3 linked regions of the Caenorhabditis elegans genome follow. The protein of the gene in region 3 purifies or fractionates together with the protein of the main gene of each other region. This does not show direct contact. Each region holds a gene or a part of one and is shown on either strand. Other genes may lie near its edges.

Region 1 (6,144 bases), on a different chromosome or scaffold from region 3:
AGTAATTTTTCAGGAAGGACGGGAGCCGCCCGAGGATTTGAACGATGAGCCACCACGTGAGCCATCTCCTCGTTCAATCATTCATTCACCGTGTTCCACAAGACCATCGAATCCTCCAATGAGCCCACCATCTCCACGAGAAGACCACCCATTTATATTCAAAATGTACTGCAAAGCCAATTTATATTTCTGAATCTCTCATTTTGAGTGTTCTCTTTTTTTCAGGGATGCTCCTGCTCCTCGAAGCCCATTACCATTGCCGGCATATGAATTGGATATCAAAAAGCCGATATTTCAGGCATTGTCCAATGAGTTTATGAACCAATCGGCGCAGGAGAAGTTGTTTAATGATCTCGATACTTTTCAAATTGAAATTAATACTGAGCTAGTTGAGGATCATAAATGTGAAAGTGTTATCATTATTGAACCACCAGCAACATTTGAAGACATGACTATACAACACAGTCTTTGTGTTGAAGATTATGAGAGGGAAGAAAAAGGTTATTGATTATTCGATGATTGTTTTATTATCAAATCAACAAATTTCAGTTCCGAAACGATTCCGCGAAAAGAAAGAAATGTATGGTCGAGACCCGCGTAAACTGTATGAAACTTATCAAGAGGAATGGGATAGATTGGAACGGTTATCAGATAGGAAGTAAGTTGATCAGATTGATGGACTTCAATGACAAAACCAATTAAGGCACGGTCCGAGAAGGAAGTCAGTTTTGAACTTATCAAACTGTTCACCGGAACGAAGTGTTTCCCCATCTCCGATCAGGCATTCTTTAACTGGGGAGGGCCACAGAAGAGATTCGTAGTCCTGCGAAGAGTTTTACAAATTGCCGCAGATTTTGTATTTTGTTTAAATAAATAATGTATACATATTATTACTGCATTTTTACAAATTTTGATTTTCAGACCAATGTGAAAAAACTAGTTGAACATATATTCCGTTGATACACAATTTTGCAAATAGAACAGAAAAAGTTTTATTTCAGAAATTTCGAGTTCCAATTATGAATTTATAATTTTTTTTTGAGGGCATATTTTGAACTACTGCCTAACTGCTGTGGTAATTTTAGCAATTATCAAAGTTGCTGACTGCCGAAAACGCCAATTGTCCAAATGTTTGTAATTCTATAAACTCGTGGAGTTTAGAGCTTCGGATATTTGAATATTTGGGGCAATTCAAGTTTGAATTCTTTCTCAAACTAATAAATGGAATAAAGTTTACTGCGCATGATACAGTATTAAATATCGATATTTTAGGTAAAAGCCGACAAAACTACAATTCCAAATAAATATTAGAATAACTGTACTGAATATTTATTCAATTGTCAAACATAAAACTTACTCCCAATCCAATTATTTCAATTTTATTACTGGCAGAAATTATTTCAGAGATTCCCATAAATCACAGTAGGTTAAAATATAATTTTAAATACATTAAAACATTAAACAATTTAGATCGAATCAAGTTGAACTTTTGATACTGCAGCTTTGTTAACAGTGTAAAGAGTTGAACCGTCAAAAATATGCTCTCCCTCTTCGACAGTTTGAGGAAGTTGGACCCACTCCAAAGTAGACTTATCGTCAAAAATGTTTCCTTTGAGAGCCCAAACGGCTCCGTAGAAAGCGCTTCCCGTCATTCCTTTTTGAACACGGCCACCAGCGACAATGAAAGAATTGGTCTTCTTGTCAACAAATGAGCAGTTTGGACCAACGAAACCGTATTGGGGAAGAGAACTGTACTCTCCTTCAATATCAACATGACGAGCTGTTTTTGATTTCAAGTCAAAAACGAAGAAACGAGTTTTCTCCCAATTGAATCCACATCCATGAACAGCGTAGCTAATGAGCACTTTGTCATTGACAGTCTCAGCAATTACTGGAGATCCTCTCTGAAAACAATTTTTAATATTATAAAATTCTTGAACAATCTTCGTTACCAAATGGTTGTCATCAGAGTGAATTTGCGAGATGTTTTCGACAGTAGAAGAAGCTCCATTGACAGTGAGAGAATAGATTTGAATGTGACAATTGTCGTCTTTGAGAAGAAGAATAGTTTCACCATTTGAAGAAGTTCCAGCAGCAGCGATAACTTCAAATCTTTGAGTCTCAGTGAGGGTTTTGGTTTCTGGGGCCTGAAAAAACATTGTGGTGTATATCTAATAAAGGATGATGGTTCGAAAAAAAGTCAATTTCCAAAGCTTGTTCATATGCTGACAGTCTATGGGTCTATACGTACACTTTAGGTTTATATGTACCATATCGAATTTTAAACTAAAAAAAAAACTTACAGAAGTAATACTTTAAATTAATTTTGAAACAAAATTCTAATCACAGAATCACTCACATTTAACAAAACCTCATTGAAAGAATTACTATCCCATCTGAACAACTTTTGGAATCCAATTGCTCCAAAATTGACAAAAGCGAGAAGATAAAGCTGATTGTCACGAACAAACAACACTTCTTCCGAGTTTTCTTCGCTTACGAGCTCCGGGAACTGAAATTGTTTAGGTCTGAAATGACCAGGAAAACAAGGCAAACTCACATCATGTCTCTCCCATTTGTTGGATTCCTTATCAAAAGTCAGAACGTAAGTTCCTGCAAAAGCCACGCGATGTCCCCAGTTGTGATTTGGTTGAGCGACGTCTAAACAAGAAAATTGTTCTAAATTTGAAAAAAAATGTATATAAATGCTCACATTTGCGCCCCACCAAAGTCAACTTTCCGTCTTGAACGAACGAATAGTGATATTCGCATAGCTCTCCGTTGTTTCCAAAACCTTCAGCAATTTTCTCAGACATGATCAACTGAAAACATACATTTTAAATCAAAAAGAATTAGTACAAACATCTGAATATAACAAAAACGGAAGAAAGTTTATAAACGCGGCAGGTGAAGTCGGAAACCAGGAAGTAAAAAGAGAAAAAGGAAGATGTTCTGGGCAAACGGCCAAAGGTTGAACTCAATTCGTTCTTCTATAGAATTGACGGTTCAAAAAGACATTTAGACATAGAAGTCCTTAGAAGATTTCTAGAAAACTGGTTGCAAAACATATTCGCAAAACATTACGAAACGACTCTTTGCCGAATAAAATGAAAAATTTATAGAACATAATTGGACATATAATATTTTATGTGAGGTTTCAATAATATATTCTCAACAACTCAAAAGAAAACACATCCAAAAATCGATAAATGCGCAAGGTGAGAGGCAAAAATGGCTTAGAGAGCGGTGTATTTCTATTGGGGAAGTCCAGTTTTATACGTGTTGTTTGCCAGGTGGCCAGTGACTCATTGTGGGAAAATTGGGAGAATAAACAATATTGCGAAATCAAATATTCTTCATGAAATTTCCATGGAAAGAATGAACACTGTCGGAAAATATTGTTATGTAATTCTCACAGTGAACAACAACACGATTGTCCAAAAAAAAACTTTATTCATAATACTGCAAAGAAGGGTGAAAGTGAATCAAAATGGAACTTGACGTATTTGGTCAATAGCAGTAGTATTTGCTGCGAACATTTACGGGGAATTTGGTATTTGCTTTTGTCTGTGTACTGTAAATACAAAGAAGTTTTGATCAAAAGTAGAAGTACCTACTTTAAAAGTGGTAAATCTGAAAATTAAACAGTTTGATGTCTTGTAGGCTACCAAAAAACATCAGTTATACAGCATAAATTATGTTATTGTACTGAAAATAAAACATTCGAGCACATTGTTAAATCATAGCTAATCTTTATTTCGGCAGTGACCAAAATGGATATCCTCTGATATTTTCAAAGCTGCGGACTTCTGAATTTTCGAAAAAAAAAATTCATTTTCAAGAATATACAGATTGCAGGTTTTATAGATTTTGAGACACAAATTTATGTCAAACAGTGTTTTTTTAAAGCTCAATCAATTTAGACTAAATACGCAATTACCATAATTGGAAACCAGGCAGTAAGGATCTGGAACGAGAATCCCAATTTCTAATTCCTCTGAAATTAAATTCAATGTTTTGTTCTAAAGACAAAACTTTGGCTTATGTTGGTTTTTCGCTATAGTGTCAAAATATTTGAATATCATAGTAAAAGTTTTCAAAATTTTTTTAAAGTTTTCATTTACTGTCGAAAAGTGACAATCGCACGTGGTGTCAGAATGTCCCATTTCGTTGTGATCTACCAAAACTGCGGGAATTTAGACGCAGACTTCTCAACTGGTCTCGCATGGTTAAGAATGAGCTGACGTCACATTTTTCGGGGAAAAAATTCCCGCATTTTTTGTAGATCAAACTGTTATGGGACAACCTGACACCACGTGCAATCGCTCAGTTTTTGCACTCATAACTTTGGAAGTCGACCAAAAAAAAAGTTCTACGATTTTTATACTTTAAATTTGATTTAATTATTTGTTGTAAAACATTTTAGGGGTTAGAACATGCAATATTGCTCTGTGTTTCCTCAAAAGCTCTTTTTTGTTATTTGGCAGATTGCTAAAACATTAAAAAAATCTAAAATTTTCTGGTTGGTTTTATTATAATCTCCGATTTTTTTCAAAACATAAACATAGTTCAAATAATGGAACAAATCTATATTGTGAACAAAAGTGAGGAAAAATTTTATAAGTTAATGTTGTAACAATAAAGATTACAAAACTATTTCCAAAGTTTGTCTTCTCTCAGATATTTTTTGTTTCCATACACTATTTTAGTGCAAAGAGCAAAAAAATTTTCAACAAAGTTTCTGAGAGAAATTCTAGAAAATGTTACTTTGGAGTGATTTGGGAATTTTTAAAGTTTTGAAAATGTACCATATTTTGCATGTAGAATGCCACATTTTTTATCAAAAATGAGCCTAATGTTTTGAGAATTTTTAAAAAATCCTTTCGATGCATTTAAACATTTTCTATCAGGTTTCTACTTATATCGTGTTATCGTTTACTTTTTCCTTTTCAATTTGAAAAACCAAAGACATCACTTTTGTTATTCTCTCTACTTTTTCTTTTGAAGAACCTTGATTCGCAGGACATGTTTCAATGAAGTCGGAGAAGGTAAGAGAAAAGTGACAAGTGGTCTACAACGTTTGTTTTCAATTTGCGACACTGCACGCACAAAAACGCTCCGTTGAGAACCGATTTGATCTTGCTCTACGGCGTACAGTTTTGTGTTGTTATTATGTTGTTTTGATGTTGTTTCGATGGTCCGTCAATATCGACTGTCCTTCACAGTTAGTCTTCGAGCGGTGGTCTCTTGTGTCGCCTTTTTTTCTCATTTGTCCTCCCCCCCTTTACCACTGCGCAAATAGATTTGGGATCTAATGTATGTAAGTGCGCTCTACCGCAATCAATGGGTTTCTCCAAACAAATGCCCTTGCCATTTGAGAAACGAAACAGAATCTCTTGAAAACATTTCTGATAACCGATTCGTTTTAGTTTTCTACAATCAACTTCAAAGAATAATCATTATCTATCGATTCACTGATATAATTCTCGTGTTGTGACCTTATCAATCGACAAACAAGTCGATTACTCTGAATGTTCACATCAAAAACTCCTCACCCGTATTGCCGGCGTTAAAGTGAAAATCTTGAAACGATGGTAAACTATTATTTTTTGTTTTGTTGCCTACGTGCTGGCCCCCGACGTGTCCATCTCTATCTCTCTTCCCCGTGACCGTGGTGTGCACTGCTGCCGGGCGCGTTTCTCCCCGTCCTGTTCTCCTCACATCCCTTTCTGCGCGCTGCAATCTTCTAAATGTCACGCACACAGCAAAGTTGCACTACACTTGTTGGGACCTTCTTCTCTCCGAGCATTGACCGCTCAGTTTTTGTCCTCCCTTTTTCTCTTCTTACTCAAATTCTTTTTATTTTTCTTATCTACATTTGAAAAACGTTTCTTACTTTTCACTTTTTGAGAGCTTTGGGTATGTTGTCCCGATTTGCCCGTCAACTGGCGCTGCCAGTTTTCAACGGAGTTCTTCATGTGAGTTTATATTAGGAAATAAGTATAGGAAATAAGTTATAATGAACTATATTTTTCAGCCAACTCGAGCCACCAGTTCGATCGCTCATACCATCAAGGTTGCCCATAAGATCGATGAGACCAGAGAGAAAGCTCTTCTCGGAGGTGGAAAGAAGCGCGTCGACGC
Region 2 (7,189 bases), 7.8 Mb from region 3:
TTATTCGACAAAGTTGCCAAAAGTATTACTGTAGACGATTTAAAATATGAAAGTCTGCCAGCAGTACTGGAAAGTATGATGAATGTACCCATTCCATCAGAACAAGCACCATTTGTACTTCCATCAGCTACTACACATCTGACACCGACACAGGAAGCTCTTTTGGAAGCTGTTAAAATTGTATTTGTTGAATGTACACTATCAGGAACATCTCTGCGAGCCGCTATTCCGGATCAAATACGACTTTTGCTGAAATTTGCAAGTATGGCAACACAACGAATTTCTCCGAATAAAGTTGCGCCTGGTGGACAGAAGAGCTATGTAAGTGTTTTTTATTGAAGGAATATTGCTCGTATGGACTCAAAATGTGCACGAATTTCGAAAAAGGTGCTGATCAAAAACAATTATGACAGGTCAAAATTTCAAAAAAAAAACGAAATTTCGCAAAAATCGTACATATTTTATTAGTTGATCTCGCGTTAATTTACATGCTTGTCAAAAAATTTCAATTTTAGACAAATCGATAGACGGAATATTTTTGTTTTTTCGCTGGGAAAATCGAAAAATCGAAAAAAAAATCTTTATTAAGTAACCACAGTTGGTACCAAAAACATTCAATTTTTATCGTATTACGGTTATGCGAAAGAAAAAAAATAAGAAAAATATAAATTTCTTTGAAAAATAAGATTTTAGCAGAATTTGGCTTTTTTCGAAATTTTGAGAAATATTATTTTTAAATTCGCCCTTCTGAGACCATGTTGGGTATAACAAAGCAAAGAATTATTTAATTTGAATAAATAATTTAAATTTTCAGAGAGACTACGCCCTGACTACAATTGTTCCATTTTCCGAATATTCTCTCCGAATTGCAATCGAATTCTTTACTTCAACATCACAGAATCCAGAAGTTGCCAACTCGCTCATTGCTATTGATATCATAAAATTCCTCGGAGAACCACTTTACATGAAGTACACTTGTATCTCTGCAAGTACTTGGAAACTTGCTGCAACTTCTCTGATGTCTGTCTTGAGAACATCCATTCCATATGCTCGTCAGAATCCAGAAGTTTTTCGAGGTTTATGGTCTGCAATTTGTGATACTATGGAAAGATGGCTTTTTACTCCAAAGTAAGTTATTTTAGATTTGATTTTGGAAATTTTCAACAAAAAAAGTCTCATGGGGAAAATTAGTATAGGTGTAATAGAAGGCTTCTTCAGTATTAATTCGAAAGAAACATTTAAATAACTTTTCTTTCAAATGCTTGATTTTCTGAACTATCGAAAAAATTCTGTTTCAAAAATATACATACTAATTTTAGATTAAAGCTTTTTCGATGACTTTCAGATAAATTAAGAACATTTAGATACATTTTCCAAGTCTCATATTTCGAAAAAAAAAATCAAAACATCAAAATTTACAAACTAATTCAAATTTTAAAAAAATTGAGAATGACTACAATTCAAAAAAAAACAAAAAAAAATTGATTTTTCAAAGGTACACATACTGTATTTTTGAGGGAAAAATCGCAAAAGCTCGCAATATTTTTTTTGCTGTTTGAGACTCGAAAAACCAGCATTTTTAGTTTAAAAAAAAATAATTTTAGAAGTATTTCTATATTTTTTCTACAGCTGTATTTCGTTCCAAACCCGGCGTTGTTTGCCTTTAAAATTTATGTTTCACTTGAATAGAATTTTTTTTAAATCGTGAGCTACAGTAATCCTTTAAGACGAATAGTCTCTTGTATTTGCAAAAACTGGTCGTGTCAAGACCAGGTACCGTAGTTTTTGGGCGAAATTGCTAAATGTTGAATATGGATCAATAGTTTCAATCGAAAATATTCTTCAATTTTTTCGGTTTTTCGAATTTTTTTCAGAGAAATTCAAAACATCGATTGTTAGAAATTTGAAAAAAAAACACTTGTGTTGAAAAATGTACGAAAAAAAGAAAACTATATATTTTTATTGAAAATATGTAATTTTCGTTATGGAAATTTTTAAATTTTTCACTCTTTATATAGCTTAAATAGAAATGCAATTAATTTAAAATTCTAATCTTTGATTTTTCGCTGCGGTTCTAGCAAGTCAACGAGACTGGCAGCAGACGAAAGAAAACGTGATGAACTAATGGAATGTCAGGCAATTGAAATAATTCGAAGTGAAATGCTCGCATATGCATCCCGTTTACCACAAGAAGATGTTCAACGGCTGATTGCACTACTTCATCGTGGCTCCATTTCACAAATCGATTCTACAGATGTTCTTGGTAAGTGCTCGAGAGAAATCGTCTTCTTTTTACTTCTAACACTTCTCACAAAACTAGTTGGTGTTGGTATTCCTTTCCACATTTCTCCATTCTGATTGCATGTTTTCGGTGTACTCGGTAACAACCCTCGAATTCAGCTTCAGACTCGCATACTCAACGAAATGAGCTGGCAAAGGCCTGTTTTGATGCTCTATTGATGTCATCTGATGGAGCACATACAAATACTGAAGAAGACGAAGGAAGAGGAATTCTTGGAAATGTTGCTGTGACAAGTCTTTTACAAAGATGCACACAGGTAGGATCAAAAATAGGTCCGATAAAGACACAAACTACTCTGATTTTAGGTTATGTCTGATTTCTGCAAAGATTGGTCTGCTGCTGGAGATCTTCGTTTACCTAGATCCAGAATACTAGAAATCATATCTGCACTTCAAGCTGTTGACTCACTAATTGCACGACTTGCAAGAGATCCAAAAATGACTGAACTCTACTCGCACTTAGTTTCACTATTTCCATCGGTTGTTGATGTGATGCCTTGCTGCCATGCTGATCCTCAACTGGAACATCAACTGATCAAGACAATCAAATCATATCAAACACTCTTCCTTCTTCAAAATATTCCACAAGCCACCGTGGAATAGCCACGTCACCCTCCAGTAGCCATATTTATTTTATTTATTGGTTCCAGTTTCACTCTGTCTTCATTTAGCATATGGGTTATTAAATTATCGACTATCGATCGACACACAGTTGCCTTTATCCTATTTTTATTCATATTCTTTTTTTTTGCTTCAAAATCTTGTATAGTTTCGAGTACTAGTACCCTCAGAATAACGAGTTCATTTTTTTCTGTGATTCAACGCAAAAACACTTCCCGCTTCTTTTTTTTGATGATGATTTACTTCAATCGATATCCCGGACTATTATGTTGTGAGATAGTGTCTTTTTCATTCTTTGTAGTAATAAAACTATCCAATTTTAAATGCAATGACTTTGAAACTATTTTTTTTTTCTGTCAATATTCTGAGATTTCTTATTGCCAGTTATTATGAAATTTGGAAAAAGAACTGAAATTCAGAATGGGCATTGATTACAATCGATGGTGGCATTTAAAGGATGAAACATTGGGCGAGGAATTAAAAGGATATATCAAAATGATTGAAGAAGATTATCTTGTTTATTCTGGAACCACCTCACAACTTCATGTTTCAAAACTCTCAAATGGATCAGTTAATAGTATTGTTAATGAAATTCTGGAGCAACAAGGATCCTGGAGCATTATTTATTATAATCAGAAATTGAAAAAACTTTTCATTGGAAGAGATGTTTTTGGAAGACAATCTTTGGTTTTTAATTTCGAATCGATGATTTTTGGATGTAGAACAAAGCCAGAAACATCTGGGAAATGGATTGAAATTCCATTCGGACAAGTGACTGTTTTTAGTCTTGATTCAACTGATCCAGTTATTTATTCATATCTTGACGAGTATCCAGAGGTTTGTGCAATTTTATATGAAGTACCGCCAGTGGAGAATTTGCCTGAATATTCTTTTTTAAAAAACCGAAAATTTTCCGATGAACTGCTGAAATTCGGAAAATTTTCAGAATTCGTAAAGTGTTGAAATGTCCGAATAGAAACTTTTTAAAAAATTCAAATTTCAAGCAAGAATTGGTGAATTCTCGTTTTCTTCATTATAATTTCGGATGTGTCGGTAAAAAAGTGGTTTTCTACGATTTTTGAATTCTAATCATAGTATGGTTTTTTTTTCAAACATTCTATTATGAAAAACCTGAGAATGCATATTGCGCAACATATTTGACGCGCAAAATATTTTGTTGCGAAAACTACAGTAATTATTTAAATGACTACTGTAGAGCTTGTGTCGATTTACGGGGCTCGATTTTCGAAATGACAAAAATACTTTATTTATCGATTGAATATCAAAATTCAGCAAAAAATTAGAAAATCCTACGAAGAAACGAAGGAAAATTTTTCGAAAATTGAAAATCACTGTCGATATTCGAAAAAAAAATCATATCGAATTTCAAGCCCGTAAATCACCACAAGCTCTACAGTAGTCATTTAAATAATTGATGTAGTTTTCGCTTCGAGATATTTTGCGCGTCAAAATTTTTTCGCAATAAATACACATTCTCAGAATTTTGTGTTCCCGTAATAGGAGTTCAAACCTGCCACAATGCTCGAAATTCTTCAAAACGTCCAAATTTAATACAAATTACCAAAACATTGATATTTATACAAAATCCCCACGGACGATATTCTACCTAATACAAATAAAAATATAATTAATTAGTTGAAAAAACAATTCCATATTTTTAAAAGTTTTACTATATTTGATGCTTAGGCATTTATTACTTATTTCTGACAATAAATGCTATATCATTACAGAATGTATTGGATGGCTACTTTTCTGGGTCGGATATCTCTCGAATTGTGGTCAACAAGAAACATGGATTATTGAATGTTAGTAGATCAACTGGAGGAGAAATTGACTCATTTAATACCAAAGATCTCTTTCAAAAAGTTATCGATGCGACTAAGATTCTATTGAAAAATTGTTTGTTTTTTCTAATGAAATCGCTTTTATAACATCTAACTTTAGATCATGAAAGCCACGTGGCAGTATGCTTGTCTGGAGGTGTCGATTCTACATTTGTTGCTCATGTTGTACATTCAAGTGTTCCAGAGAATATGCAAATTGATCTAATTAATGTGGCATTTGGTAATAGTGAGAAAGTGAGTTTTTATTTTAATTTAATATCGAATAATAAATCTATATTTTATAGGAATGTGAACAAGCACCTGATCGTAAACGTGCCAGAAAGGCGCTGGAATCATTTCGAACTGCATACCCAACTCGCCAATTTCGCCTCATTCTTGTCAACGTTGATAGCCAAACCCTCGAAGTGAATCGCAAAGAATCTATCTCAGATGCAGCTCAACCAGCGAGTTCAGTACTTGATGACTCACTGTCTTGTGTTCTGTGGTTTGCTGTCAGAGCCGAAGGAGTTGATAGTGAGAATCAACAATCAGTGAGGTCACCTGCAACTACATGCCTTCTGGGATCAGGAGCAGATGAACTTCTTGCCGGATACGCAAGGCATCGAACTCGATTTGAGAAGGAACAAATTCCAGAAAATGTAGCGGAAGAATGTGAAAATGAATTGCGAAGGCTGGGATCGAGAAATGGAGGAAGAGATGCTAGAGTTGCTGCTCAACTTGGGAAGACCATTTTGTAAGTTTTCAAAATCTCCTAATAAAAAAAATAATATGATTTTTGTTATATTTCAGATCTCCACTTCTCGAAGATACCGTAGTCACTTGGCTCAACGCACTTCCAGTCGATTCCAAATGGGATCTATCATTGCCACGTGGAGTTGGAGAGAAACAATTGCTCCGAGAGACAGTGAAAATGTTGGGATCCCCATATGATGCTCCGAAACAGGCAATGCAATTTGGATCGAGAATGGCAAAAATGAGCAACGCTGGTGATAATTCTATCAAAGGAAGTGATAAATCTCCGCATTTATTGAAAACTGATGTGAATTGATGTTTGAATGATTACTTGTTGAAAAATAAATTGATAATTTGGGTACTGTTAATAATAACTTTCTTCCACATGATAAAGAGGATGTAATTTCAGCAGAAATGTAGATTTTTCCTTTTTTAAGTGATCGAAAAAGGCGAAAACGGTGTTTAAGTTTTTCAAGGTAACTTTGCAAATAATTAGTTTTTTCGCTTCCAAAACTCGTAGACTCTTGGATTAAATTTAATCAAACAGAACACTACATTATTTCATACCTTGTATTTGAATGCGCCTCATTTCAAGTCGTTTCAGAATATATTCAAGAAAATTTCCCCTTCAAGTATAAATTTGTAGGTTTCTGTATTGATGTTACGAATTTCTTGTAAATATTGGAAAACATGTTAAATTGAATGCAATCTATGTTTATTACTGAAAAGGAATGATTTAAGCCTTTTGGACGGCACGATGTCTCTTGGCAACGGCACGGTGCTTGGCAGCAACAACACGACGAGCCTTGGATCTTCTGGCGGCAACTGCCTTTCTACGGGAAACCGAACGATGTCTAGCGGCGACGTGACGGTTGCGAGCAACAGCGGCTTGAGCACGAACAACTGAGGAACGGGATGGGCATGGGCAGTAGGCAGCATCACCTCCTGGTTGTCCAGCAGCTCCTGGAGTTCCTGGTGGTCCAGCGTTTCCTGGTTGTCCTGGGTGTCCGTCTGGTCCTGGCTGTCCTGGTTGTCCTGGAGCTCCATCATTTCCTGGTTGACCGTCATTTCCGTTTTGTCCTGGTGGTCCTTGTGGTCCTGGAGATCCAGCGGTTCCTGGGCGTCCAACAGATCGAGTTCCTGGTGCTCCTGGAGCTCCTGGTCGTCCGTCATTTCCTGGTCTTCCTGGTTGTCCATTATCTCCAGCTGGTCCTTGTGGTCCTGGAGCTCCTTGTCCTCCTCCCATAGCATCTTGTCCTGGTTGTCCATCACTTCCGCGTTGTCCATTCTGTCCTGGTTGACCTGGTGGTCCTGGTGGTCCAGCTGGACACACAATGCATCCATTAGCAGAAAGTGGAACACCGAGGTTTCCATCAGCTCCTGGAGTTCCATCCTCTCCAACCAATCCGTGATCTCCGTCCTCTCCTGGAGCTCCTGGTGGTCCTGGTGGTCCAGCTGGGCAGTTGCTGGCAGCAGAGTTGGCTCCGCAGTTACATTGGGCAGCTTGACGCTTGGTACGACCGAACAGGGACTCGTAGACTTGACGTTGCTTGCCTCCTTGTGGGACAACAGTCATCATTTGGTGCCAGACGGTATTAGCATCGTCCTGAAATGTCGGAATTTAAGAAAATCTATTAATTTATGCAGTTACGTCTAAAATGTTTTTTCTT
Region 3 (10,130 bases):
TTTTATAATTTTTTGAAACTTGTTGTAGCTGTTATCCAACTTTCTGTAGCTATTTGGCAATTTTTTGAGAGCATTTCAAATCTTCTTGTAACTTGTTATAGCTTTTTGGCAACTTTTTGTACCTTCTGCGATTTTCTGCAACTTTCTGTAACCTTTCATCAATTTTCTACCTACTTTCCGTCGAATTTCTGCCCCCTCTCCACAATTAAACGCCAATTTTCTACGCAACTTCCTTTCATTCAAAATTTTCCAGTTCTGGTCTCCAACCCTTATCCTAATAGTTTACTTATCTGAATGGCTGGCTCCAACAATTGTATTAATTCCACTATTCTACACTGGAAATCACAATTTCTCACTCATCGCTGCCCCTTCTGGCGGATTGTTTCTACGCGCCAGTCCGGAGTTCATCAAAGTCTGACATGTCTGAAATTTTTTTAACTTTTAAATTTTTCTAGCTAGATGTGCTCCAGGACCTCACTTTATCGATATTTTGCTTCCTGGTCAGCTCATTTTTGTATCTCATCACTTTTGTGCATTTGGTGCAGACTTTGCCGAAAACTGTGGGTTACTGTAGCTTCAAAAGTACGCAAACACCTAGAGATTGAAGAAAACTTCTAATTATACATCATGCTCGAGCAGAGAAACCAAAATGTTCCCGGAATCACATTAATAACTTAAAATGTAATGCCAAATCTAAAAAATATAAACATAAATAATATATTTTGTCAGTTCAAGAATGAATATTTCGAAAAGAAATTACACCTGTAGTCAAACGAAATTTTTTTACACACTTGAAACTTTTGAGAATAAATTTTGAAATGCATAAACTAAACGTTTTCTGTCAAAATAAAAAAAACCAGGTGTTTCTAGCATTAATTTAAAAATTTCTAGGTTACTCTAGCGCTAAAAGTACGCAAAAACCAAGTGACTGCGTACCAAACACCATAGGTTACTGAGAGCTTTCAAGCTGAAATTATTCGACAAGACTAATTGAATAACAGCGAATACAAACTTCTTACCTAAAATTTTCAGTTCATTCAGTATTACTTTCAGATGTCAAACACATTCTTCAGTATTAATCGATCGGAATCTTCAAATCTCAACCCACCAACAGACCTAATTATTTTCAAATGTGCATTTTTCTCATTTGTTCTGTTTGTGCCAAATTTCGCAAAAACAATGGTTTTATATTTCTCCACTAATCCTCAACTGGTGGATATTGGAACGGAACTTTGGTAGGATTTGAGAAAAATTGCTGAAATTCAAGTTTGGAACTGGAACTTTCCAAATTTGCATTCAATCCAAGAATCTCTGTCAAATTTCAGTGGAATTCCAAAAAACGAGAAGTCCCTAGCTTGCATTTGAAAATTTTGGGGCTACTGTAGCGTCAAGAGTACGCACGATTGCGTACCAAACACCGAAATTCACGAAACTGATTTTAAATGAAAAATTTTCAAAAAAACAACAATAATGAAGTTTATCCCGAAGTTTTGAAGAAAATGACTGAAAAATTACTACCAAATTCTAAATTTCACAACTCTTGTCAATTTGAAAGCATATTCTGAGAATCTTAAAACTTCCGGATCACTGTAGCGCCAAAAGTACGCAAACGCAGAATGATTGCGTACCAAACACCGTTTTTTGTGAAACTTGGAGCTTTCGAGCTTAAAATTGATGGATACGCAAATTGAAACATGGTGAATTTGAATTTCACATCAAAAAGTTACGAACATTTCATTTTCCCAGGTTCTTCACTACGGAAATAATGTGCATCAGTTCTCCGTGGAGCTTACTAGTGAGTAGCTCAAAATTGCGAAAGGAATTTATACCGAAAAGGTTGGTTTTTAAGAAAAAAAACTAAAAATAATTTTGAAATTTCAAAGTTTCAGATGCAGAAAACGACAGGAAAATATTTCTTCAATGTTGTCTACTAGATTTTAATATTTTTACTCGACTGCAATGTTTTTTTTGTGTTTTAATTTGTGAATAGTCTTGTAAAAAAAATTGTAAATTTTTAGAAAACAATTGTATATCAATTTGAAGTAGACAGTATGAAACCCGTTTTTTAACTAGAAACACTTTCAGAATTGACATGCTCCATCTTTTTTTCTGTAAGTTATAGGTCTGTTATCATCAATGTTGCGAAACTGTTTGCATAGATACCAAAGACTGTATTAATGTTGCCATTTTCTTTCTACTCTGATAATGCGAGCATGATTTTTGACGAAGGGTTGTTTGATATTATTTGCTCATTGACTCTCTTCATTAGGGAAATGATTAATAGTTTTTCAATGTTGTCGAATCAAAAATATACCTATTTTTTGGAAGTCGTCGATCAAAAAACATTTTTCTACCTGTTTTATGTTTTAATTATATTCATATTTCAAAATTGTAGGGGTTCGAAAAGACGCCTGTGCTTTACATTTTTAAAGTTTCAGTATTTCTTTCCCCAATAGCCGTACTCTGCCGTATAAGTTATGTTATGTAACCCAGCGGTGGGTGACAAACTGGCAAATTGCCGATTAGCCGAATTTGCCGAAAAAAAAGGCAAATTGTTGTTTTGCACATTCTTTTTTGAAGCTTTAGAATTTCAATTTTAGTCTGCGAAACTGTACGCATAATATGAATTTTTCTATATCTATTTAGAAAAATGAGGCAATTTTTTGAAAATATTTTGAAAAAACGAGGAAAAAACTTCAAAAAAGAACAGTTTAAAGAGATTCCATAAATTTTCGACTAACGGCAATTTGCCACAAGTAAAGATTTCCGGCAAATTGGCAAACGGGCAATTTGCCATTGTCGGCAAATAAATTTACCGAATGCCGCCCACCCCTGATGTCTACTATACTGTAATTTTTTTTGTAGGAATTCAGAATTTGAATTATTTTTGAAACTTTTTGATGGTTTTCAAAAAAAGAGGGAAATTCAAATTTCAATTTGACTTGTGAGTTGTATCCATATCCATAACAAACAACATTTTATTTACAAGAACATGATTTTCGATTACAATTATTCTCTTATCGCTTGAACGCCCATACTTGTTCTTTACATGCTTACATGTTTTAATTACATTTTTTGCCAATTTAAAATTGAACAATTCGCTTAAAGTAACAGTTAAAATTATTTGAAAAAAAAAACATATTTACCAACCCCAACTTGTTTTCCTTAATCTTTTCCTATTTGTATTAATCATGCACCCGAATGAGTCAATTGGAATTCAGTCATTTCTTTAAGCGGATTTCAGATGCCACCTACTGGTATATTCTTCAATGTGAATGGAAAAGATATTAAAGAAGAAAATGTGGATCCCGAACTAACATTGGCGTATTATTTGAGAAACAAGTGTAAGGTCACAATTATTTAAATGATGACGTTATCTGCCTAACGTTGTAATATTCCAGTGGGTCTTCGAGGAACAAAGCTAGGTTGTGAAGAAGGTGTCTGTGGATCTTGTACTGTTGTTCTTGGTACATGGGATGATTCTCTTAACAAGGCAGTCTACAGTGCAGTCAATGCATGTTTGGTCCCATTGTTTCATGTTCACAAGACTTTTGTGATTACTGTGGAAGGAGTTGGAAGTCGGGATAAGATTCACCCGATTCAGGATAGAATGGCTAGAGGACATGCGGTGCAATGTAGGTTTTGTGAGAAATCGTGTCTTCCCACATAGTCAGCCTCTAGGGTTTACCCAGAACGGATCTCGCTATTCCTTAGATCCTTGAGGCGGCAGTTCAACCTTTAGCAATTAAACATGCTTCAACCAGTACTTTCGGCTTCAGGCGGCTTCTGCTCACCCGGATTTGTAATGTCAGCATATGCGCTCCTCCGTAATCATCCGAACCCTACGATTGAACAAATAAATGCAGCGATCCGAGCTAATCTATGCAGATGCACCGGATACCGACCGATTCTTGAAGCTCTTTACAGTTTCTCGTCAAGTGGTGGAGGATGCTGTGGGGGTAAAAAAGCTGGAGCAGGATGTTGTAAAGATTTAAGCAGTGAAGACGAAGCGTATGAAAAACTCACTTCGTTCAATGATTTCCCAGAATATGATCCCTCGCAGGAAATCATTTTTCCGCCTTCGCTCAGAGTATGTTGAAGGTTTAGAAAAATACTAATAGTAAGAACTTTTTTTACAGATCTTTGTGGACTCTGAAAACCCAGTTACACTTAAAGGTGACAGGATTGAGCTTCTACTACCAAAAAGTATTGAGCAATTCAAAGAGTTCAAAAAAGATCGAACCGTCATTTCTTCCGGGCTTATAACTAGATTTAGTGAATTTTGCTACACAGTTGCCTAGAAATTAAATGCATTTTTCAGTAGCAACCCGTAACCCAAAAGAGTTTTCTCAAAAGTGGATTACAACCAAATATGTGAAAGAGTTTAATGAGGTCATTGAAAATCCAGAAACCGTGGTGATTGGTGCTGCGGTAAATATTCAGAGTAAGTAACTTAATTCTTCCTGGGAGCAAATCATAAATTCAGAAATGTCTGACATCCTCTCCAGATCATTAAGCCAAAATATCGGGAAAGAAGTCGATGCATTTATAAAAAAATTCTCCTCTCCACAGATTGCAAATTTTGCTGTGAGTTTTTTCAGAGAACGGAGTATTGTATTAACGTCGGTGTTACACCTATTTTTAGAGCACATTTGCAGCACAAAAACTAGATGACCCCCTTCATGATACTCAGTCTAAAAACCTATATTTTCTGCTGTCTCAAAAACTCTCTAAGATTGCGTTGTGCGCTGCATATAAAAAATGACCGCAATAAAATCCGTTGTTTTTTGAACAGAGACAATTTAAAGTTTATACATTCCCAACCTGACTGTGCCACCGTTTGTTCGGTTAAGCGCGTTTGCAGTTTCAAACTGCTGATGTTCCACCGTGAAAATTTCCATTAATCGCTCGTTTAAGCTATTGTGACCTTATGTCTCCTTTGTCTCGTAACATTAGCATTCAGTTTGCATTAATTGTTCACCAAGCTATCACAGTTCGTTTCAGACCTGGACTGGAGGTATCGTTTCTGGAGCCAAATCTTCAATATCTGTTAGCGACTTGCTGCTCCTGTTCAATGTGCTCAACGCTAAGCTAACTTTGCTCACCGATTCAGGAGATCTCACTCAAGTGAACATAGAAGAGTTCGTAGAGAAAAAGTTGTTCGCTACTAACACAATAGTCAATACCGTCTTCTCAAGTTCTATTGTAAATTATTTTATTTTGACTCGAGAATCAAATTATTTTTTTTTTTAAACTTTAGACTGGTCAACTTTTCTGCCTGAAACTCGGCGAAACCAGCGAACAAGATTCCACAAGCTTCAACTTTGCTGCTCTTGTTGGAAACAACATCAGCAGGATTTTCGTTGGGCTTGGCGGTCCACCAAAGCGGCTGACTTCCTTGGAAGAACATATTTTTGCCCTGAAAAATTTGGATGTGCCTGACCTTTGTAAAACGAGTGGGATGGGTGAGAACAAAAATATAAAAATTGCTCTCACGAGGCTCTCCAAATTTATGAAAAACGTGGAAAAGACAGCCGAAACAGTTGATGGATTAAATTACCTTCAATACTTCAAGGTAGAAATGAAACTATCTGAAATAAAACTTTAAATTTGTTGATTTCAGCCAACTGAACGCAAATCCGTTGGAAGGCCGCTTGCCAACTATTTTAACGAGCGTGCAATTACAGGGGAAGCTCTTTATGTGAACGACATTCAAACATATAGTACGACTGTATTAAAAGCAATCCAAAACAATTATTGATTTCAGATCCTGTTCATCTCGGTTTTGTACTTTCTACAGTCCCGCATGCTGAAATACTTAGTATAGATGCTACTGAAGCATTGAAGCTTGAAGGTGTTGTCGGTTTCTTTGGGGCTTCTGATGTACCTGGAAATAACTCGCCTGGTCTTCAAATTTCAAATATGAACCTTCCAGACGACGCTACTATATTTGCCGATAAGAAAGTGAGCGTGGGTTCAATAAGTTCAATTATTTGTGTTTTTGACAGGTAGAATCGGTTGGTCAAGTGGTCGGAGTGATCGCTGCGAACGATGTTCTTCTGGCGAGACGTGCTGCAAAATTGGTTAAGTTGGAGTATAAGGAACTACCAGCATTAGTTGAATTGAAAGATGCTATCGTAGCAAAATCACTGCTCGGAAAAGTTCGGCATTTTGGGAAAAGTGAATATTTGGTCAATGAAAGTTTGGTACATTCTTACAAAGTTTTGGAAGGAGAATCAAGCCTTGGTAGTCAAGAACACTTTTACTTGGAGACTCAGAGCAGTTTGGTGATTCCAGGGGAGGGTGATGAGTCGTAAGATGTCATTAAATTTGAGAAAAAAATTTATCTTAGAATTACAGGATTGTGCACTGCTCAACCCAAGGAACAAGTTTCACTCAGCTAATGGTTGCCGAAACAATGAAAATCCCAGCACACAAGATCATCGTAAAAGTTAGTAAGAAGATTATTTGACATATTAGATGTATCACTTGTGTTTTAGACAAAACGAATGGGTGGTGCATTTGGTGGGAAGTTGAATAATGCTTCCTGGATTGCATGTATATGTTCAGTTGTTGCAAAGAAGCTCAATCGTCCAACTTACGGGTATCTTTCGAGGGAAGAGGATTTGGCAATTACTGGGAAGCGGCATGGGGTTTATACAAAATATAGGTTGGTCAGAAACAAACGGGGCTTTCTAGCACCCATATTAATCAAGATTGGGCAAGCAAGTTTCATATAATATTATTATGTTTAAAAAACCAAGAGCATCTGCAAAGAATTAGCTTTTCTGGCCATAAATAGTCCCACAACCCACCGTAAGTGAGCCCACTTTTTTTATTTGCTTAGGTATCCCTTGACAAATTCACGAACATCTTTCGGTTTTCCCAGCTGACCTCTGCATCAAATTATTTTTTACAGAGTAGGAATAAATTCCGATGGAAAAGTACAAGGAATTCACCATCAGGCTTGGCTGAACGGCGGATGGTCTAAAGATCATACAGAAGGAGTCACAATGGTTATGGGTCAATTTGTGGATGATGTGTATAATATGGGAACCGTTCGATATGATGGATACCCGGTTAAAACCAATACGAACAGTAATACTGCTTTTCGAGGATACGGGAATCCACAAGCGAAGCTCGTTAGTGAAGGCGTGATGAGAAGAATTGCGCGGGAAGTTGGGAAGAGCACGGAGGAAGTTAAGAAACTGAATTTCGCATTCGAGGGAGAAAAACGGTACCTCAGTGGGAACATTTACAGTGATGCACATATCGAGTGTTGGGAATATTGTACCAGATGGAGTGATTTTGAAAAGAGAAAGGAAACTATTGAAAATTTCAACAAAACATCAAAAATTGTAAAGAGAGGAATTGCGATGTCATCAGTCCGTCTGGCACTTTCCCATCCTGGTCCACCAGGGCATGGTGTAGCGAGTCTTATGATCAATCTAGATGGATCTATTCAGCTATCAATTGGTGGAACTGAGATGGGTCAGGGACTCAATCAGAAAATGCTACAAGTCTGCAGTGAGGCGTTGAAGGTTCATAAGCACACATCAAACTTCACTTATTAAAATATTCCAGAGACCAATAGATACCATCACCATTGTTGACTGCAGCACTGACAAAATAACGAATGCTCCGGAAACAGGGGCAAGCCATAATGCAGATACAAATGGGTTGGCAGTTTTGGCATGTTGTGAGAGGATAATGTCTAGACTGCAACCGATCATTGATAAGAACGATGGTGATTGGGAAAAATCAATTCGAGATGCATATGGAGCCTATGTTCCATTGCAGTGCACAGAATATGGATCGTAAGTCGTTCCTATCTGATCCTGTAGAATTTGAAATATGTATTTCAGGGTTGACCGGGAAAAACTCAGCATTGGTGAGTTTGAGTACCCTTATAATACAACAGGAGCCTGTGCAGTAGAAATGGAAGTCGACACAATGACTGGATACAACCGTCTGCTCCGTGTGGACATTGTCATGGATGTCGGAGAGAGCTTGAATCCTGCCATCGACATTGGACAGATCGAAGGAGCATTCATGCAGGGATACGGGCTCGTCACTTGTGAAAAAATAACTTTCAATAAAGAAACTGGACAACTGAATCAAAACTCGGCGGGACAATACAAAATACCGAAGTCTAGTGATGTTCCGAAAGACTTTAGAGTGAAGCTCCTGGGTATTAACAAGGCAAATGGAGCAAAAGTATACTCATCAAAAGGAATTGGTGAACCACCACTGATGATGTCATGTGGAGCTGTTCATTCGTGTATTATGAATTGTATTGATGATTGGAGAAAGGAGAATGGAATCGATAAATTTGTGGATACAATCTCACCACTCAGCGCTGACAAGATTCAAGAGCTCTGCTCGTGTAATAACTAATGATGTATGTTATTCTTCGTTTTCTCATGTTCAAAATAGTTAACATTTATTAAATAATCAGTAATAACACACATAAACTATCTGACGTCCGGAAATCATTGACATCACAATCATTTGAAGAGTAAAATAACAAAAAAAAACAGTTCGGGTGGGACTCTTGATCAAGCAGTTCCAGCAAATATTATATATCTAGAAGGACCCCCATTGCCAAAGCTGTTGACACCCGAGACCGAATGGGAGAGTCAACCCATCGGGTGAAAACGACGTATTCCAATACGCGCGGAGGACACGGAGCAACTGTCAAGCGGCGAGTGAAGATGAGCGGTGCGATGAGGAATAACAGTACACAGTTTAGACGAATCCCAATTTATTGGTGGAATAAAAAGGAATGAGACACACAAGATAGAATTAGGTAAAGATCCAGGGTCAATCCATCGTCGGTTGGCTAGCCGACGATGCGTCTTGGCGACATCGTAGAGAGTGAATGAACGAAGTGGCCTAAAAGGGCGAGGCAATTATTGTGTGGATTTACGGGCAACGATTAAGAAAAATTTTGGTGGGAAATTCAAATTTTCTGAAAAAAAAACATTTTTGGCGGGAAATTCAATTTTTTGAATGATTTTTTGCGGGAATTCAAATTATTCGAAATAAAATTGTATTTACAATTTTCTGAGATAATAGCATTTTGGCGGGAAATTCAAATTTTGCGAGAAAAAATTCTGGCGGGAAATTCAAATTTACTTTTAAAAAAAGACATTTTTTGCAGGGAAATTCAACTTTTCGGAGGAGGTTACTGTAACTGACAAACACAAAATTATTGCGTGCCTTATTTTAGGGCATTTGAAGATTTTTGAGCAAAAACTGACAAGTACCAAATAATAGTTGGAGAATTCCAATTTCAAATTAAAATATTAAGAAACGCCTGGAAATACGCAAATAATTCCTCTCCAGGTGGCCCAATCTTCTCAATTTTTTTATACTCTTCCCAATCTCTAATAACTGGTCAACATCACCAGTACGTACTCTAGCCATAACTGTCTAACTGTCCGCCACCCTCTCGCCCCTCTGCGCTATCTCGCTCGCCACAATTGATTGCTAGAGTGTAGCCTCAGTTTTTAGTCTTTTATTGTTTAAAATTGGCTGTAAATTGCTATTAATTTTATTATATTGATTTTGATTATCGAATTTTTGGAGAAAATTCAAAAAATTAAAATTTGGGAGTACTATTTTGAATTTTAATTAAAAATTTCAACTATGAAATGTGCAATTTGCGACTCGGTAGCTCTTTCGCTACACTTTGGAGCTCCAAGTTGTAAGGTGAGTGTTGAGATTTTCACTGAAAATTTTTTTAAATTTTGAACAAAAGAAAAAATTTGTTTTCGAAATATTTCAAGATAAATTTTTTATTCAAATTCTAATTTTTTGTTTCAATTTTTAAATACTGGCATAAATTGTTTTTTCGTATTTTTTTTAGTAAGAAACACATTTTCAGGCCTGCGCCGCATTTTTCCGCCGTACAGTTGCTCTGGACATCACCTATGACTGCATCACTGGAACTTTGGATTGTGAAGTTAATTTTGGTAATAATTACTTTGAAAATATTTAGAATTGACCGAATTTATACAGAATTATCAATAAAGTTTCACAAGAAAACAGCGGAAAAAACTCGAAAAAACAGCGAAATTTGATAGGTGGCCTAACTCATTGAATTTCTAGGCTATCACAGGATAGTG

What was found. The genes of interacting proteins can lie anywhere in the genome.
Region 1: the proteins of F15E6.6 (region 3) and F52E4.5 fractionate together in Caenorhabditis elegans (co-fractionation; one large-scale study listed by BioGRID). This does not show direct contact.
Region 2: the proteins of F15E6.6 (region 3) and M18.3 fractionate together in Caenorhabditis elegans (co-fractionation; one large-scale study listed by BioGRID). This does not show direct contact.

The regions. Positions count from the first base shown.
Region 1 is NC_003284.9:3,084,516-3,090,659, forward strand, and holds F52E4.5 (Fucose-specific lectin), read right to left. Parts: upstream 2,831-6,144; 5' UTR 2,817-2,830; coding exon 2,714-2,816; intron 2,662-2,713; coding exon 2,561-2,661; intron 2,513-2,560; coding exon 2,360-2,512; intron 2,148-2,359; coding exon 1,953-2,147; intron 1,905-1,952; coding exon 1,467-1,904; 3' UTR 1,313-1,466; downstream 1-1,312. Other genes in the region: twk-16 (Potassium channel domain-containing protein), read left to right, coding at 14-165, 226-500, 550-658, 704-821; pccb-1 (Propionyl-CoA carboxylase beta chain, mitochondrial), read left to right, coding at 5,922-5,978, 6,038-6,144.
Region 2 is NC_003282.8:12,102,517-12,109,705, forward strand, and holds M18.3 (Asparagine synthetase domain-containing protein), read left to right. Parts: upstream 1-3,341; 5' UTR 3,342-3,342; coding exon 3,343-3,759; intron 3,760-4,673; coding exon 4,674-4,842; intron 4,843-4,887; coding exon 4,888-5,021; intron 5,022-5,071; coding exon 5,072-5,520; intron 5,521-5,576; coding exon 5,577-5,835; 3' UTR 5,836-5,877; downstream 5,878-7,189. Other genes in the region: mon-2 (Monensin-resistant homolog 2), read left to right, coding at 1-321, 815-1,128, 2,079-2,263, 2,401-2,558, 2,608-2,904; col-129 (Nematode cuticle collagen N-terminal domain-containing protein), read right to left, coding at 6,256-7,125.
Region 3 is NC_003282.8:4,277,233-4,287,362, reverse strand, and holds F15E6.6 (Xanthine dehydrogenase), read left to right. Parts: upstream 1-3,242; 5' UTR 3,243-3,244; coding exon 3,245-3,344; intron 3,345-3,401; coding exon 3,402-3,635; intron 3,636-3,779; coding exon 3,780-4,090; intron 4,091-4,139; coding exon 4,140-4,275; intron 4,276-4,321; coding exon 4,322-4,444; intron 4,445-4,486; coding exon 4,487-4,587; intron 4,588-5,004; coding exon 5,005-5,205; intron 5,206-5,260; coding exon 5,261-5,575; intron 5,576-5,623; coding exon 5,624-5,723; intron 5,724-5,767; coding exon 5,768-5,964; intron 5,965-6,008; coding exon 6,009-6,313; intron 6,314-6,360; coding exon 6,361-6,451; intron 6,452-6,500; coding exon 6,501-6,670; intron 6,671-6,919; coding exon 6,920-7,541; intron 7,542-7,584; coding exon 7,585-7,817; intron 7,818-7,865; coding exon 7,866-8,397; 3' UTR 8,398-8,538; downstream 8,539-10,130. Other genes in the region: srv-4 (Serpentine Receptor, class T), read left to right, coding at 254-412, 456-560, 1,054-1,235, 1,747-1,836, 1,890-1,941; nhr-78 (Nuclear Hormone Receptor family), read left to right, coding at 9,652-9,714, 9,890-9,977.